3 linked regions of the Drosophila melanogaster genome follow. The protein of the gene in region 1 purifies or fractionates together with the protein of each later gene. This does not show direct contact. Each region holds a gene or a part of one and is shown on either strand. Other genes may lie near its edges.

Region 1 (4,263 bases):
TTCAATGCCAAGCAGCACCTCTCGCTGCCAAAGATGTCCGCTCCTGGGGATTGGCCCTGGCTGGTTGCCCTGTTCCGCGAGGATATACACGTTTGCGACGGCACCCTGATCACGCAGGATTGGGTCCTCACCACCGAGGGCTGTTTCCAGGGCCAGCCGCGTGCCACTTGGATGGCCATTGTGGGTGCAGTTCGTCTGTCCGCTAAGGCACCGTGGACGCAGAGGCGCCGCATCATTGGCATGATCAAGAGCCCGGTAGAAGGTTCGACGGCGGCACTGGTGCGCCTGGAGACCCCGGTCAGTTACTCGGATCATGTGCGACCCATTTGCCTGCCGGACGCCCTGCAGAGACGCCTGCTCCAGCAGCCACCGGCCCAGAGGAGATCTCATGTTCCGGTGGCCGAGCGATTGGAGGGTCAACTTGTGAGCCAACAGCGAAGTCGATTATCGCAGGAGAACCAGCAGTTCTTCCTGATACCATCACAGGAGCAGCAGGACAGCTCCACGGAGAACCAGGGGGATGAGGATCAGGACGAGCAGGAGGATCACTTTGGTGGCGAATCAGCCGCCTCCTATATGCCCAAAGCGGAGGCTTTGCACCAAGAATTGGATGGCTACCCACTGCCGGATCATGCGCCGCAGGTGAATTACTACTCCTCCTCCTCCACGGTCACATCGTCCTCCACCGCCGCCCGCATAGCCACCAAGGCTCCCATTTTGGCGGCTGTTCCGGCTGCCCAGGAGCAAATCTGGACCAATTGCAATACACTCGGTTGGTCCCGGCAGCGGGATCACCTGCAGCGTGTCCAGCTAAAGATGGGTGACATGGCGCCCTGCGAGAATGTGTCCATTGCGACCGTCAACTCCATGTGCATGGAGGCCACCTACCAGAAGTACGACTGCACGGTGAGTAGCCAAAAGATTGGGAAAGGCATAGTGTATTTTCTAAAATATTACTTAGCTTTATTAAACTGATTCACTTCATTGAGAGTAGGAGGGGATACAAATTAATTGTTCAGTTAGTTATTTATAATCAACGTAATGAAAAGTAATTTGTATAAAAAAGAGGATTGAATTTTATATTTATAACTAGTTTATTTGAAAAAAAAGTTTATTACGGCGATTAATTAAATCTCAAATCATAATAGGCCAGAAGATTGCTTAGGATCTAAAGTATGTTTCATTCACATAGCTTAAAATTATTAACAAAAATGGTTATTTTTTACATAATATAACATTTGGTTTGGACGTTTGTTTGGTGCGATTACTGCAGTGTAAGTCTTAGGAACAATGGTTCAACCTTTTAGCTTATGAATACATCTAATTGGAGTATCGTATACGTAGTAGAGCTATGTACAATCCATGATTGGCGACCTAGATGCGAATCGAGCGCATGACAGGAACGGGAGACGGACCAACCGACGTGGACGCTGTGCGTCTTGGCTTCGAACAGACGTCCACGCGCTGGCGCTTCTTGGGCGGCTCCTTTTGGTCATCGTCCTCCTGCAGCCGAGGTATGGAAATCTCATCCAGCTGCTGCTGCGACTGTTCCCTAAGGAAACAGTTCTGACGATGCACAGGAATGGCGCCGGCAGTGGGCAGCGATCCCAGGAAGCAATTCATCCGGTAGACCGGCACCGGCTTGTACTCCGGCACCGGATCTTCCTTTTCTTGGTCCTCCTCCTTCTGACCCTCGGCTTGCTCCAAATCCACTAGACGCTTTCGCTTAAGGGACTCGGTCTGGCCCAGACTGCGGCGCATCTTTGACCAGTCAAATCTCAGGTGAAAGGTGATCTCCGGGCAGGGGAACAAAAGCAGGAAATACTCCAGCAAATGCGCCTCAAACACGTAGTCCTTGCCGTTGGTCAGGATGAGGGCTTTCCTTTGTGTCTCCGGAATGGCGAAGCGGGTCATGGCTGGAAAAAAATTCAGTCAATTAATATTAGAATAATGTAATAGATTCCGATTCTTTACAATTTACTTTCAATTTATTGTCTTCCAAATTTTAAACTTTTTATTTTCATGAAAGGTTTATTTAACAAATATTTTTTTGATATTTAGTTAGGAAAAGAAAACGCTGTGAATGGGATTCAATACTTTTCAGTGTTCTTAAAGCAAAGGCACGCAAATTTAGTTGTTGAATTAAATTTTAAATTGGCTTGGAAGACGACGCCACTGTATTTCACTCTTCCATTCAAATTTCGTGACTCACCTTGGGAGATGACCTCTTCGTAAGTGTTCGAGGATCCGCAAGTGATGAGGTTGGTCTCGCCCTGGAAGAGAACCTTCAAGCTGCTCCTGATATCGGCCATCCTTTGGTTTTCTTTTCGTATATAGTAGTAAAATTGATAACGATCTTCACACTGGTAATCCTTCTTCAACTCTCTCTATTATTTTGCACTGTTTTTCTCGCAGCGATGCGTTCGCTTGGAATGTTGCCGATCGAATGAATGCAAGCCAACAGTTGGCACTCTGTTTTATGTGTTTTTTTTTGTTATTGCGGTGTCCCTTGCTTCTTCTTGCTATCTCCCTTTTTCCTTTTATCTGCCTGCAGCTGCACTCATAGTTGTTGTTTCTGCTATCCTAGGTAAACCTTCGCAGGTAACGGGGGTTGCTTATGTGTGTTCGCTCGTGCTCACATTGAATGGCAATTGGAGAGAGTAAAAAAGAGAAGCAAAAATTACTCATTCAACTTTGTTATTGCTTCGACTGCTTGTTTTTGTTGCTCTACGCCAAGCGCGTTGCTGCATGTCGCGTGCGTGTGACGTCACGATCGCCAATTGGGGTGGCACGAGTTTAATTCAATGGTGAAATATTGAAAAAACAGAGTGGATCCTATTATAATATTACAAAATTATTTTTAAAATATTTAATTTGAAAGTGGACAGAAACTGTTGGCAACCAAAATTTAAACTATATATCATTTTTTAGAGTGGACCAAAATTATATTTTATTATTATATTTTGAATTTCATATTGTTCATTTTCAGCAAGAGGAGTATTCGGGAGCGCCTGTCCAGTGCCTGATTCCCGGAACGAATCAGTGGGCGCTCATTGGGGTCTCCTCCTGGCGGATCGCGTGCGGACCCACGGGCGTGGAGCGGCCCAGGATGTACGACAAGATCGCCTCGAATGCCGCCTGGATCCGCGAGACGATCAGCGCGATATAGTCGGGATAGTTCACCAGGGGGCGGCGGCACGCCCCTCAGCGCATTTGTGTAGAAAACGGAACCGAAACTCACTGGGTATTATGTGTGTGTGTAGCAAAGCAAGTAAGGCAATTAAGCATATGTACTATGTAACTAACCTGCTCTAATGTTACTCGAACCTATGTAACTCTATGCTAACTGTATTCTTTAAACGTCCTTTTTTTTGCTGTTTTGTGTAATATTTATTAACTATGTTGTAATTGTATGTTAAACATGTCGAAAAGGAAGCAAATTTAGTTGTTAGTCTGTACGTTTAGCTGTTTGTAGAAAGATATTGTTGAATAAAATGAAATCGTCCAAAATCAAGATAATGGCTTTACTGGGGGTATACCACAATTAGGTGGACACGTGCATGGATTTCCATTTCCCATCCTTCTGAAGGCGGTACTGCACCCGGTCTGCGATTTGGTCGAGACCCACCTTCAGGAAGTCCCAACGCTGCGGTTGGAATTTCCAAGCGGTACTAGAAGAAGTTGTAATTATGTATATGTTAATTTACTAAATATAGATATACATATAAACTTCGAAACTCACTAGCTTGCTGGTCTCTCGATGGATTTTCCTCTGTGATCCAGAAGGAACTGATCGTGCTTTGCCTTGAGATCATCGTAGTTAATCGGTTCTCCACAGGGACAGATGTGACCCCTGATTTGGGCAGCCAAATTCTCCTTCGCCCACAAAGCATCCATTTCGCTTTGGTCAAGTTCCACGGCGGTGGCTCCAATCAATCTCACCTGCCAGGCATTCTGATTTCCGGCCTTATCCTTAACATCTGGCATATAGAAGGTGATGCAGGCCTTGGGATTGGCCTGAAGGTTCTTGAAGTTGCGAACGTACCGATGGGTGATGTAGAACACACAGTTATCCTGGGTGAGTCCGCGGTACAGAACAGTGCGGTTGAGCACACCGAATTCCTCGTCCACGGTGGCCAGGTTCATTTCCTGTATGAATCCATCGGGATGTCCCTTGGCAGCTTCCTGAAGGATCTCCTTAAAAAATTCAACGGGATCGGAGGGAAAGTCCTCGATTTTGGCCAAAGAGGAGGTCATATTGGT
Region 2 (5,901 bases), on another chromosome or scaffold:
AAGCAATTCACAAGACCAATAAAAATTGAGGTACTAAGATCTCGACGTTCGGATACGGATGATCCTGATCTAGAATATATCAACTTTATGTTACATATTTTTACAATTTTACTCTACGAGTAACGGGTAAAATGTAACCAGTAGTTGCATAATTCTTTCTGAAATATATGTGTATTAGGAGAGGGATGAATGGACGCTCATTACTTTTAGTAAAATGTCTTATAGAGCAAATTGGTTTATATTTTTTTTTTAACATATCTCAATACCTAGAAGAACTTTTTTAAAGATCATTTGACTAAGAAGCTGCAGCTACAAAATAAATAACGAGAAGCAATAAGTTGAAAAGTTCAAAACTTGTCAGAATTGTCATATCTAGTTACCTAGCAAAAGATTTATCGAGTGACTGTCAATATATATTACATGTAATACAAAAACGGTCCCCTTGCAAATCCAAGCCGAAATCCTGTGCCAATAAGAAGTCGAGTTCCCCGACTAACAGATACCCGTTGCTCAGTTAGTGTGAATGCGCTGTGTCTATGTATCTAGAATCTGTATGCTGCATCACAACCTTCTAGCTTTTAAAGTTCCTGAGATCTCGACATTCAGACGGACAGAGGAACATGGCCAGATCGACTCGGCTATTGATCTTGATCCAGACTATATTCTAGTCTTGATTCTAGTATACCCTTTTACTCACGAGCAACCGATATAACAACCAAGATCTTTGTAATATATTATATATAGTCAGAAATTTGATGTGCTTTTTTTTCTGACAGCAAATATATCATATTGAAAACGAGCCACATTTAATTATACAAAATCATTTTTATTGAGAAAACTTAGGCTACAGTAAACTCCCCCTTAAAAACAAGAAAAGTAAATCAGTAAATTGTGCGTTGGCTCTCAGCCGCAGACACCCGTCTAGATTTTGGGATCCTGGGGCGTAAGCTTGACAATCTTCACGGACTCCTCCCAGATCTTGAGACCCTTCTCCTCATCGAGGGCAGCAGCATTAAGGGTGGCCTCCTTGCAGTCCATGAAGTACTTTCCAGACACATTGGCCACCTCATTGGATGTGGCCAAATAGATAGTGGTCTGGGCGCCGGCCTTGGTGGTCTTGAAGAATCCCTTGGTGATGGCCATCATGGGCAAGTTGAGGGGGAAGGGAACGTTACGCCAAATGCCCGAGTCGATCATGCCGGGATGCAGGAAATTCACTGTAACCTTGGTGCCCTCCAGCCGCTTGGCCAGCTCCCGGGCAAAGTAGATGTTCGCAAACTTGGACACATAGTATAAGTAGGCAGCCGGGAAAGTGCCGATGGGATTGAGCTTGGCCAGGTTAACCGACGACAGGCGGTACAGCTCCGAGGCTACGATGACTATGCGAGCCGGCGCGCTCTTCTTTAGTACATCGATGAGCAGATGCGTCAGCAGGAAGGGTCCATAGTGATTGGTGGCCATGGTCAGCTCCACGCCATCCTCACTCGTCTGTCCGCGGAAGGCCAGAGCCATGCCGGCATTGTGGATAAGCACATCGATCTTGGGCTCGGTCTTCACAATGTCAGCGGCGAACTCACGGACGGACTTCTGGGAGCCCAGATCCAGTTTCTTGACTAGGATCTTGTTGTTCTTCGTCTCCTTGACGATCTCATCTGTGGGAAATCAACAATAAATTACAAAATTCGGTTATGTAAAAAAAAACATGGTTAATGCAACGCCAACATATTATAAGATACTTTCTTTAAAGTAATTACAACGTAAATATTTAATAAAAAAAGATCATTGGTAGTAAGCAGTTTTTGCCAGAGTCTATAATCAACTGGATGAGACCAGTTATCGGAATTTGACCGTGTTGCATGTCCTGCCAGATCCTTGGCATAACCTCATAGGCATTGTCTTGGTCCACTTACCCTTCACTGCATTGGCAGTCTCCAGGTTCCTGCAGGCCATGATGATGCGGGCTCCACGTCCAGCCAGATCCTTGGCCGTCTCCTTGCCAATTCCGCTGTTGGCGCCTGTGATAATGACTGTCTTGCCCTCCATCTTTGTCTGTAATCAATGTCGAAGGTTAATCATTTAATACGGCGCTGCAATCGAAAATTGGACGAGGGCGGTTCGAAAATATGTTTACAATACTAATTAGTTGGCGCTTGTTCACAGTCACAGTAATCGCAGTTCGTCTGGAACGGAAGCTATCTTAGTTTTCAGACCCATTAACGGGTCGCTTAATTGCCATTCGAGTGCTGAGAGCTTTCTGTGAATCAGAGGTAAGCGATCTCACAGATTGTAACCGAGATACCCAGAAGCTTAGATGTTTTGTGGGATACGAACAATGTTCGGTCAGGTGGTAATCGTAGCTCAGAGATGTGACGTACCTCGCCTCTCAGAAGGTATCTAATTTAATCTGTAATTAAGTCGACGCGTCACAACTGACCAATGTAATAACAAGATTGAAACACGTTAAGTTTTCCTAGTGGTGATTTCATATATAGTTAAAAGATTTCCATAGTCGGAATGCTTGGAATGCTACAGAATCGTTTTAATTATATGGGGTTTTTCCAGATAGTGATATATGTAGTTTTCTATAGAGCGGTAAGCTGAACCATTTTCAATTATGGATCTGTAATGTTTATCTGAATAGTTCGCATTTATATGAATATATAAAATTTGTAAAAGTTTTGAGCGATTAATAAGCTTAAGGTCGTGTCCGAATACTGTTTTAGTAAACTATCCCACCATCATTTGTATGTATATGACAGCTCATCTACAAGATCTGAAAAGAATTCGCAGCGGAAGTGGGAGCAACAGCCATATAAAGTGCGAAATATTCGAGTCGTGTCGCGATTCTGGGGAGCATGGGACTTGGTTTTTTGGATTGGGTGAGGTGCGTTCGTTACCTCGGTGAAACATCGTCCCGCCGTGATGCGCAGATAGAACCGAATGCTCATCAGGGTGGCCACTATGGCGGCCACTGAAGTCATGAGGAAGATGTCGCGCACATAGTGCTCGGTCGACAGCCAACCGAAGATGAAACCCATCCTACAAATATGCCGAGGTGTGTATACTATATATTGTATCTTCATATACGTATATATCGGTGTCAACATGCAAATCAGATTATATAATAACCGAAGCTGCCAAAGCCAGACGATTGTCTTAGGGCATAACGAAACGAGTTTGGTTTTGGGTTTTGGGGTTTCATGGTTTTGGGGATATTGGTTAGTCGGCGAAGGTTTTCACAATTCAAATCGTTTATCAGTGACTGTCAATAAATCAATTTCGAAAACTGTTGAGAAAACTTACACTTTCACTTTCACACATGTGCGTAATTATGGCTTATTATGATGAAACGCCGAAAAAAATAACATTCAACCAAGTTCATTGACAGCCCAAACGAAAGAAGGTTGAACAAGAAAGAAAGTCTGAAGTTTCATGTCGTTTTGAGTTTCTGGTTTTTTCTTCTCTGTTTGTTTTTTTTTTCCCCCACCGTCCACGTCACAAAGATTTCCAAGAGCTTTCCTCAAGACTCGAAGACTGGCTCTGGTTACGCTTGCATGCACCATTTAAGAACCCCCCCAACCGAACCACGCCCTACAATGCAGTCTCGAAAAGAAACAAGATCTATAGATGTATGAAAAAGTCTAGAAGTGACCCGTTTTTGGGTTTTGTTCCTCAACTTTTGCCAGTCGGAGACGAGTTTTTTAGTGCAAACTCACCTGTTTTGGCTGTTGGCTGATCTATAATTTATTCCAACTTCTGCTGACCTGCACTTTGGACTATATCTGCGCTGCGAAATGGAATTGGTGGATCCAAGAGCTAGTGCCACAACCTTCGCCTTGAACGACTAATCGGAGACTGAAGTCGGAATTCCGATTATAAAGCCGAGGCTGCGGAGAATGCGCGATCGTCTCCACCGGTTTGGTATTGCCGTGGTCGCGGTGATTTTGTTATTGCACTTATAGCCATGGTAACAGGTTAGCCAAGCGGCTTTCCGGGCTCCTCTTTGGGATCGTCTTCATGAACGGTTCACTCGCAGCGAAAGAGCGAGCACAGAGTGGAGCCAAACTATAATACATAGTTACCAGCGGTAAGAGAAAGATCTGGGTAGTGGATTCCAAGAAAGTGTGTCTAGAAAGCCACCTGTCGGGGGCTTCGCAAAGCTTCTTTTCTAGTTATGCAGCTCGAATGATGAGCTTGAAATAATGTAGAAAATAATAATGGATAGTAATTAACTTTTTTAATGACCAAGACTTTATTACTATTTGAAGTACTACGGGTAATTGTATAAACATGTCAGATAAAAATCTATTTTATTTTTCATTTCATATATCATTAACCGAGATACCACTGAAATATATCAACATTCTTTTCAATTCAATGCATTTTATTATAGAGATGACATATTCACAAGTACAATAAAGAATGCTCAACAATCTACCACAAGCTTAGTCTAAGCCCGTCTAGTTCGTTGCCTTAGTCCTGTATATAGCTTTATTTGAAAAATATAATTCCCTTAGAATTATCGCTCAAATATAATTCCTTTGAATGCAGTAATGTTTGAAAATAAATATATATTTACATTCGGTTATAATGCTGGCAGTTTAAACAAGGTCATATGGTAATATAAGTCATTCTACTTCTCAATGCTGTTTTGTCGGCGGGGTGGTTGGGTTTCCGCATCCGTTTCCAAGTGCTTGGTTAAGGTGTTGTACCATTCGTTCATATGGTTGGATATGATGTTGATGAAGCGAGATACCTTTGATTTCATAGTGCTCACGAGGCTTTCGGAGAGTTTAGTCAGACTACGACCAGAGGCCAGCGAATTCTTGCTGCTGATCCTCATGATCTTGGATTCCTTTTCCTCCCTGGGCTGGCTGGCATCCTTCTCTGCCTCGTGATCCATCTTGTACTCGTAGTAGGTGTACCTTCCCAGCGGCATCATCTCATCGCGATCTGCCTTGTCTATGGCATTGGAGGGCAGTTCAGCCAGGGAATTAGTGTTAAGTACGGCACGCCGCCTTCTCATAGCTGGTAAATCCCACCAGGAAGTGATACCCTCATCGGCTGGCTTTTGAGGCAATTTCGAATGAAGAGTAGGCGTTGCCTTCTTTCCCTCAAAATGATCCTGTATGAGGGACTTCCTACCGACATTCGCCGACTCCAGGGAACTTTCCCGCATGCCCTCATCTCCTAGAGAAAACTCGTGTTCATGCTCGTTGATGTGGCTGAGGAAATGCTTTCCAAGCTCTTTTTGGGCCTGCAAAAAGTCGTTGGCCACGTGACCTAGCCTGGAGTGACGCCTTCTAGCACTTGGCACCGGTTGCACATCCTCCTCGGGCTCGGACTCTTCAACAGACTTGGGTTTTTGGGACAGACTAGCCTTGGCCATGGTGGCCTTGCTGGAGAAGGGTTCCGGAAATAGCAGTGAGTTCAAGGTGGCTCCCAGATTTAATCGCTTGTTCTGCTTGGGAGCTGGTAGGGCCTCAAAGAATTCCGTGGGCAGTAGACGCAACTTGGGACGCCCTTCTGTTTGCTCCGGTTCCTGCTCCTGTTCATCCTCTTTGTCCTCCCTTTGAATGATCTTTAGCTGACTCTTGGACTTGGTCCTGCGCTTTTTGGGTACCTCCCGCTCAAGTTCCTCTTCGTTTTCCACCTCCCCATCCACAGTCTCAATGTGCTTCAGGTGGACATCACCCTCTGGAAGCCGTGTGTAAGTGGGTATTTCCTCGGATTTCTCTCCAATGCGCTTGAAGAACTTCTCCTCATCGAATTCATCGAAGTCGAAAAGGGGCTTATTCTTCTTTTCCGGCTTCCGGATCTCAGTAATCTTCTTCGTCAATGCTGTCTTCTTACCCTGGCGATTGTAGAAGAAGGGCCCGGAATAGCTGGATGTGTCGCGTC
Region 3 (8,596 bases), 4.9 Mb from region 1:
TCCTTATTTTTGAACAAAGTTGGATTGGAAATTAAATTACGAGCTCAACGAGGTATAACATTCCATATTCAGACAATTATTTTAAAAGTTGTGGTAAAAAAAACGGATTATTTATTGACCGAAATTCGAAAAAAACGGGTTTTGCCAAAAAAGTGATTTTACAAACGGAACTTTTCGTCATAACTTCTCTAAAATTTGTCATATAGATAAAAGAATTACCTTTTTGAGCAGCTATTTACCAATACTAACGACGCCAATCATTTTTTGAAGGATTTAGAAAAATTAATTTTTGGGTCAATTTTCGCATTTTTTTGTAAGGGGTAACATCATCAAAATTTGCAAAAAATGGCGAAAAAATAGAATTCTTATATTTGGACACAGTTTAATTGGAAATTTAATTACGAGCTCATTGAGGTATGACATTTCATATTCAGGCAATTAATTTGAAAGTTGTGGCAAAAAAACGGATTTTTTGATCACATAAATTCGGAAAAACAGCTTTTGCCAAAAACGTAATATTTACAAATGGAATTTTTGTCATAAATACGCTAAAAATTGTTATATAGATGAAAAAATAACTGTTTTGAGCAGCAAATTACCAAGGCTAACGTTCCCTATCATTTTCATCGAAGAATTAAGGAAATTTTTGAATACAGTTCGATTTGGTATTTAATAACGAACACAACGAGGCATCTCATTTTATATTTGGACCATTATTTATAATGTTATGGTAAAAAAAACGGATTGTATTATGATAGAAATAACAATATTTATTCTTGGACAGAAAACTGCACAATTGGAAAATGTTTTTAGTGAAACGATGTAATTAGTTTATAAGGTTTTCCCGTAAGCTGTAAATTTCGCTCAAGCAGTTTTATTTCGCCCACACAAGTTGCATTAGTCCAGCTGTACATACAATGTCATTTATGTGTATTTTTTACTTATACATATAACGATGGCATTAATTTACTTATTTTCGTTCTACAACAAGTAATTTATATTTGCCGATATATGTATGTATATGTAGCTATATCCACTTTGAATGCAAAATAAGCATCCAAACACATGTAAGTAAATTTCCAAAAAAAGTTTTTATCTACTTTTCATGGCTTTTATTCCTTAAAAAACAAACACGTATGTTTCATACGCCCAGTTTAATTTTTTGACCGCTTCCGTAAAATTCTTTATCTGTTTCTTCTGTTTATGTGTGCCACCCAGCCAGTTGAACCGCCCTGCTGTTAATATTTTGACCGCAGCTGTACCATATGTTATCTATTTACCCTGTTTATTCTTTCCCCTAATTTAAATGAGACTTTTTCATTTATTCAGAATTTTTATCTGTTTCTTTGTTTTTTTTTTTTTGTCATGAGTTATGAGTTTTCCTAGTCGCCCATTGCTATTTTTATGGCTGCAATTGTTTGTTGGATAAGATGAGGGGGGTGAGTGCAGTGCACTGCTTGCTGGCCAGTGCAGTGCAATAGCGGCATCTCGTCTCCCGCATCGCATGCACTGCTTGCTTACCTTCACACGCACAAAAGGGGATCCCATCAGCTCGTTGAGGTCGGTCATGATGATGTCGCTCTCCTGCTCCTTCTCGCTCGCACTCAAATGCAGTTATTGCAGCGGCTACCGCTCTCTCACTCCCACTCCTGCTGCTGCCACACGCGGCGCAGACAACAACAACAATAAAACACAAAAAAAAATGAGTCGCACAGCTGTTTTGTTATTTTCGTGTGCAACAATTTGCTGAAATCGTTCCACTTTGCGTCTATTTTCACTTGCAATTCACTTTCAATTGGTGCTAAAAGCGCAATAGCTTCACTGTATGAGTGTATCTGTGTGCGTCTGTGCGTGTGTGTGTGTGTGCGCGCACTTGTTGGTCTTCTTTCGTTCTCCAAATGTTCTTGTTGTTGCTGCTGCAATATTTGGCAATCGCTGTTGTTGTTGCTGCCTTTGCACGGGGGCGTCAACAATGAACGGCGAATAACGAGTGATGTCAACAACTATTAGCTAGCCGGGGGCAAAAGTGTTATTTTCTTTTATACGCTGGAAGGCGTCAGCGCAGCAACACGACCAATTGCAATTTAAATTAAAATTGTGATGTGTGGGCCAATGTGACCGGTCGCTGTTCCGCTTATACATGCCAGTTATTATTTCGGTGTGACCGTAGCTATAAAATGCGACAGGCCGTGTTAAATACTGAATAATACCAATAACTGGTATTTTAGTTTATCAGCGATCTTCCTTCTCTGCATGTGAATGTGTGTGTGCGTGTGTGTCTGTTTATGTGCGTGTGTGTATGTTTGCGTGAGCCGCTGATAACGCAGCTGATCGGGCGATTCCATTGAATTCAAGTTTTCAATTCGCAGAGCATGGCCAGCAACTTCACCCAGTCCCAGCCGTCCAGGATCACCAGCTACATGGTCAACCAGCTGCAGCCGACGGCGCAGGAAACGAAGGTCAGTCAGACAATATCGGACATAACCTTGATCTCCTTGGCACACGGATTGTGTCTCAGTGAGATTATCGGAGCACCTACATACATATGTTAAATTCAAAAATGTATCTACTTGCAGTTGGCGCTGATTCCCAGTGCACCCCAGTGGCGCTCCCCCCAGCTGATGGTCGTCTTCGAGGACGGTGATCTGCACTCAGCGCGCCACCAGTTGCTCCAGTCCCTGCAGAATCCCTTTGCCGAGGGATCGGTGGCCACGTTGCTACTCCAGGAGAGCATTGCCGATCAGTTTGTGGGCCTAGTGGCGCAGGATTTGCGTCCGTTGTCGCAGGAGGTGTCCAAGCATCCGAGCTACACCAGCACGCTGGCCAAGATCGAAGAGCTGAAGGCCAAGACAGTACAAGGCGAAAGCCTTAAGGCTGGGGAATCACCCGTCTTGGTGTACGACTGCGTGCACAGCTATCTGGGCAATGGAGCGACGGGAGTGGTGACGGTGCACACATTCCGCACAGCCAAGGAGGCCGGCCAGTTGGCCAAAAGGGATCCCCTACCTTACGGCCAAGTTAGTCTGTGGAATGAGAAGCTGGGCTGCGCCTACGAACTGATACCACGACTACCGAGCGATATTGTGGCCATTAATTGCTTCAATCCGGACTTGGATCCCATCTGGGAATCCTTTGCTGCCGACCGCAACGATGTTCTGCTGGCCAAGAACTATCACTATGAATCGCTGGTGGTGAGCGGCAAACGGAGGATCGTCGTCTTTCCCGTGGGCACCATCTTCGGCAACTGAAGAGTGACAGTTCTGGACTTCGACGGCGACGAATCACATCCGGAAGGAATTACATCCAGGTGCTTTTTAAGCCATACTTTAAAATACCTCTCTAAGCATTTTACATGTAGCTTGGGGCATCCTTTTCGACAGTTCAATTGGAATTATATCGAACTAAATTAGGAGTTATGTCAAACAACTAGCATTTAATGTGGCTTAACTTAGAAATTATCTGATTTTGCAACCATCATAATATTCCAATTGTATTGCGAAAAGGTCCTTGAGTCTGAATTGTTTTTTTGATACTCTGTCAATAATTGTCCACTGAAAAATCATCAGCCAACTTTTATGCATCTGTGGGAATTTGGGGTAGGTCCACGAATCTCTGCATGCAACAGGCATTTTTTCAGGACATGCGCAAGTGCTGCTCCAGAAATAGAAATCCTGCAAAGCAGTTTAAATGGAAGCAGTTGAAGGGCACACTCATACACTTGGGGCCAAAATAATAGCGCTCATTTTAGTAAACTTAACATACTATGAAGTAAATGAACCATTTAACTGATAAACTGGTAATGATTTCAATGAAAATTTTTAAAAGAACATTTTGTTTTGTGCGAGCTACGCAGCGATCGATCAACTTAACCCTTTATCTTATCTATTTCATTGTAAACGGACAACAAATATGGAAAAATTTCCAGATGTAGAAATGTACATACTATGTGTGGAATTTAGGTTTTTGCTCATTTCTTTTGTTCTCTAACTAGAGCCTGCTTGAATTGACTTACATACATTAAAAGAGCTTGGCTACTTAAACGTAGCTATTGTGTTAGCCTGAGTTGTTTGAGTGTGCGTGTATTTGTGTTGGCAACTAAAGTATACTTTGCCTTTCTCTCCTCGTTGTTTTTATTCTCAAGATTTTAGTACAAATTCCCTTTTTGATTTCGACTATCTGGAAATTAGTTTTGTTTTATTGTTTTTATTTTCTTACAAATAGTAATTTTTCAGTGCTGGCAAATATACCATATCGCCGTTTATAGTTTGTGTGTGTGTGTAAACTAACTGTAACTAAACAAAGATAGTATACTTAAGTTAGTTCACAACAATACAATTCACACTGCACTCTCTTCTCTTCTCGCACATCACCCCCTTTCTCTTTGGCCCTCTCTAATGCTCTCTCTCTCACCCACTCTCTTTCGTTCTTGCATCCCCTTCTGTGACGTAGCGCCGCACCATTCATGCTCCACTTTCACACGGGAGAGAGCGAGAACGCCACAGAGCCAGCCATTAGAGAGGGAGCGAGCTGTGGTGACTCCAAACGCAGTGGCGCAGCAAAAGGGGCAACTAAACAATGACTGAAATTCCCAAAGAACTACGCCATCATTCTATCGCCAGAAAGTATTTACTCTTCTCACTCGAGGAATCCCCTCTGTGATTTTGGCTCGCCACCCCACAACTACGCCACTGTTACCCCTCTTGTGGTTAGAAGCTACGTTTGCTGGCGCTGCCTTTTGCTTAGGTTTGTTGTTGCGCTGTCCGTTGCCCGTTGCCATTTGCCAGTCCGTCAGTCTGCGCTGGTTCCCGCTGGCGTGGTGAGGTGTCCGCTCGCGTTGCCGCTCCCGTTCCCGCTCCCGCTCACACGGCTCTTGATTTTGGTGGACAAGCAAACCGCTTCCGCCACCGCTGGCGATACAAATACAATAACTACACTACAGCTGCCGCTCCGGCAGAGAAAATGCGTTGGCAGTTGCAGTTCCAAACGCTCAAAAGACGCTCGAAAAGCACAGACCGCCAAGCACCAACATCTCCAATCGGAATCCACGAAACCAAATAGAGCGCCACGATGCCACCGCACAAATGGACGGACGAGTCGCGGGACGCCTCCTGTTACTACGATCCATCCACCTCCTCCAATTCATCCGCCTCGGCGGAGCGCTCCGACGACGAAGCGGACGACGAACGGGAGGCGTTTTGCTCCGGCGAACGACCGCTAATCCGCTCCAGCGGCGCTGCGGAGGGTGAGTAGCTACAAGATACACAGATGGGGAAAGATATTTACCTAGCTATAGCATATGTAGGTGGAGCAACGTAGATATGCGTATTACAAGCTCAAGATACCTTTATTTATTTAAATCTTTAGTGCTATTTCTGCTTCATATTGATTTGCATTTATGTATTGTACATACATATGTCCTGGGTCAGTACTTTTATTAAACATAAACTCTCGGAATATCTGTGTAAAAAAAAACAGTACTCAACGCAAAGATACTTTTTGTTGTAAACAAATTTCATTTTACGTATATCCAAGACACTCTAAAATTGTATCTTTCAATTTATAATAATTCTCATTTAATCTTAAAGTAAGATATTATATGGCTTATAGATTTCAATAACTAATAAAAATAATTAAAATGTTTTTATACATATAACATAACATACATATAATATAAAATAACCTAATAATTACGCATAAATTTTAATTTTCACGTAATACTATCCAGTTATCCAGTTAACAGCCTATGCCTATGTATAATTTATTCGCCAAGGGCCGAAATTACGACTTGTTTACATTTACTGATATGAAGCGAAGTTTTTCTGAACTTTATAGAACAGTACAAATCTGCATTTCAAATGGAACGGAGGGCCGATAACTTTTTCGATGGTATCAGATCGTAATATTTTTATTTTAGATTTTATACTTGAGCGATTCCTATGAACAAGTATCTGAAAAGAAATTAAATTCACTGGCAATGGCATCTCATGTAAACATTTCTAAAGGAATAAAAAAGTGAAGAAATTGAGGCAATTTAAACTATGCAATGATAACACATTGAATGGTATTTAGGGATTTTCAGTGTAACATTGGGCCTTATCGAGAACGGCGAGAACTTTTAAGTAAAACCGGAACTGATATCGTTATTACGCCTCCTAAACCATAGCTTACTAACCATCCACTCTCTCCTCTCTCCACCCTGCAGAAAACCATGGCTGTGGCCCAAAGACGCGTCACATTTTCGGATTCATGGGCTTCCTGGGATTCGCCGTGGTCTACGCGATGCGGGTCAATCTGTCGGTGGCCATTGTGGCCATGGTGAACCAAACGGCAATTCCGCACAGCAACTCATCGGTGATTGATACGGACACGTGTCCACTACCGGCACCACATCACAATGGTAGCGATCCCAATCCGCAGAAGGAGGGCGAGTTTGTGTGGGACGAGGCCACGCAGGGATTGGTGCTCGGCAGTTTCTTCTATGGCTATGTGCTAACCCAAGTGCCCGGCGGACGGATGGCCGAGCTGTATGGTGGGAAGAAGATCTACGGCTATGGAGTGTTGATCACGGCGGTCTTTACGCTTATAACTCCATTGGCTGCCCACTGGGATCTGCCGCTGTTGGTCCTGGTCCGCATCCTGGAGGGAATGGGCGAGGGCGTCACCTATCCAGCTATGCACGCCATGCTTGCCCACTGGATACCGCCGCTGGAGAGGAACAAGTTCGCCGCAATCGTCTATGCGGGCTCCAATATCGGAACAGTCATTTCCATGCCGCTGGCCGGATGGCTGTGCTCGCTGGACTTCCTGGGTGGCTGGCCGTCGGCTTTCTACATCTTCGGACTGTTGGGCATTCTGTGGTTCATCGCATGGATGTATTTGGTGTACGACAAGCCTAGCGATCATCCCAGGATCTCAGAATCGGAGCGAGAGTATATCGAAAGGAGTCTACAGGTTCAGAGGCTAATAAATCAGGATCTAGCGGAGGCCGAGGAAGAGGAGGGACAGGATGAAGTGAGTCTGCGGGCGCCGCCGGAGGAACCGATACCCTGGTCATCGCTGCTCACATCCGTACCTCTGTGGGCCATCTTGTTGACGCAATGCGGCCAGGGATGGGCCTTCTACACGCAGCTAACCGAGCTGCCCACCTACATGAGCAACATCCTACACTTTGACATCCAGTCGAATGCTCTGCTCAATGCGGTGCCGTATCTAACCTCCTGGTTCGTGGGCATTGCCTGCTCCGCCCTGGCGGATTGGATGCTAGCCAGACGCTACATATCGCTGCTGAACTCGTATAAGTTGTGGAACACGGTGGCCTCCGTGGTGCCATCACTGGGCCTGATTGGCATCATCTATGTGGGCTGCGATTGGGTGTGGGTCACCTTTATGTTGGCCGGCGTGGGCTCTTTCGGCGGCGCCGTCTATGCTGGCAACCAGATGAATCACATAGCGCTCAGTCCACGATATGCAGGCACCATGTATGGCATCACCAATTCGGCGGCAAATATCTGTGGCTTCCTGGCTCCGTATGTCATCGGTCTAATCATCAATCATCGCGAGACTCTGACACAGTGGCATCTGGTCTTCTGGCTGGCGGCGGGCTTGAATATAGCCGGTAACTTCATCTACCTGATCTTCGCCAGCGCCGAGGAGCAAAGCTGGTCGAAGACACCACCCACACGCAACTCACGATCCCAGCGCGCTTGAAGCAAGCCTAACTATACGCTATTTTAGCTAGATCATAAGCATTTGTGATAATTCCGATATATACACATATATCCTACATATGTATTTGGGCTCGAAGTTTTCCGGATGCAGGACAAGAATGTGGCTTCCAAAAAGAAAAAAAAAAAACGAAACGAACGAAACTAGTGCTACCAAATCGGAATGGAAAATCGAAAGGATGTTAACTGTTTTAGTGTATTATATACGTGTATCGTCCTTTTATATGGACTTTTGTTTTGCTAGGCGTCTTTTTTTTGTAAACAATTATACCAATACCAACTATATATATATATACATATATATTTATATATCTATCATATACACGCTCGAAGGCACGTAGATCTGTCGAAATAAACAGCACAAACATATCGAACTGTGGCACCTGATTTAAGCATTTTATTCTTTAACTGGCAGGTGGTTTTCGTGTATCCGACTAAGTAATACCTCTTCATTGGAGAATTATGATTTGATGGGTTATTTATTTTATGCAGCTACTAGAGTCTTGGATTTTTAAAACACTTTTAGGCTTTTCATGTTTTTGAAGGCTGTAAAAATGTTGCATAATTTCAGGGGCGAAGTGTTCATGTCAAATTATGCCTAAAACATAAATGGGGTGTATAAAAAGTATCTCAAAATAGTGAGTAATACTTTGGTAGTAAAATGTTTGTGCGTAGAAACGATAATATATAATTAAGAAAGATTAAAGCAATACAATACCTTCTTCATTTTACAGCTTTAAATCTTAATTTTAAAGGTTTCTTATATTATGATTTAGAAATACGAATAGAATACCTTCGATAAAGCTCTGTCTTTGGTTCTTTTAGTAACTTTTCGTAGGTTTAAATGTTACAATGTTAAATGTTAATTTTCT

What was found. The genes of interacting proteins can lie anywhere in the genome.
Region 2: the proteins of Corp (region 1) and CG7675 purify together in Drosophila melanogaster (affinity purification with mass spectrometry, with the first as the bait; one large-scale study listed by BioGRID). This does not show direct contact.
Region 3: the proteins of Corp (region 1) and CG15717 purify together in Drosophila melanogaster (affinity purification with mass spectrometry, with the first as the bait; one large-scale study listed by BioGRID). This does not show direct contact.

The regions. Positions count from the first base shown.
Region 1 is NC_004354.4:8,268,951-8,273,213, forward strand, and holds Corp (companion of reaper), read right to left. Parts: upstream 2,460-4,263; 5' UTR 2,313-2,459; coding exon 2,213-2,312; intron 1,917-2,212; coding exon 1,375-1,916; 3' UTR 948-1,374; downstream 1-947. Other genes in the region: CG1632 (uncharacterized protein), read left to right, coding at 1-906, 2,990-3,169; CG15343 (uncharacterized protein), read right to left, coding at 3,545-3,671, 3,743-4,257.
Region 2 is NT_033777.3:18,377,316-18,383,216, forward strand, and holds CG7675 (uncharacterized protein), read right to left. Parts: upstream 3,864-5,901; 5' UTR 3,717-3,863; intron 3,422-3,716; exon of another isoform or gene 3,304-3,421; intron 3,040-3,303; 5' UTR 3,039-3,039; coding exon 2,898-3,038; intron 2,050-2,897; coding exon 1,911-2,049; intron 1,653-1,910; coding exon 922-1,652; 3' UTR 809-921; downstream 1-808. Other genes in the region: CG14309 (uncharacterized protein), read right to left, coding at 4,634-5,901.
Region 3 is NC_004354.4:13,126,730-13,135,325, forward strand, and holds CG15717 (uncharacterized protein), read left to right. Parts: upstream 1-2,288; 5' UTR 2,289-2,372; coding exon 2,373-2,459; intron 2,460-2,576; coding exon 2,577-3,248; 3' UTR 3,249-3,307; exon of another isoform or gene 3,308-3,561; intron 3,562-4,263; exon of another isoform or gene 4,264-4,449; 3' UTR 4,450-5,067; coding exon of another isoform or gene 5,068-5,242; intron 5,243-6,202; coding exon of another isoform or gene 6,203-7,707; 3' UTR 7,708-7,836; downstream 7,837-8,596. Other genes in the region: CG32638 (uncharacterized protein), read right to left, coding at 1,522-1,569; MFS10 (major facilitator superfamily transporter 10), read left to right, coding at 5,068-5,242, 6,203-7,707.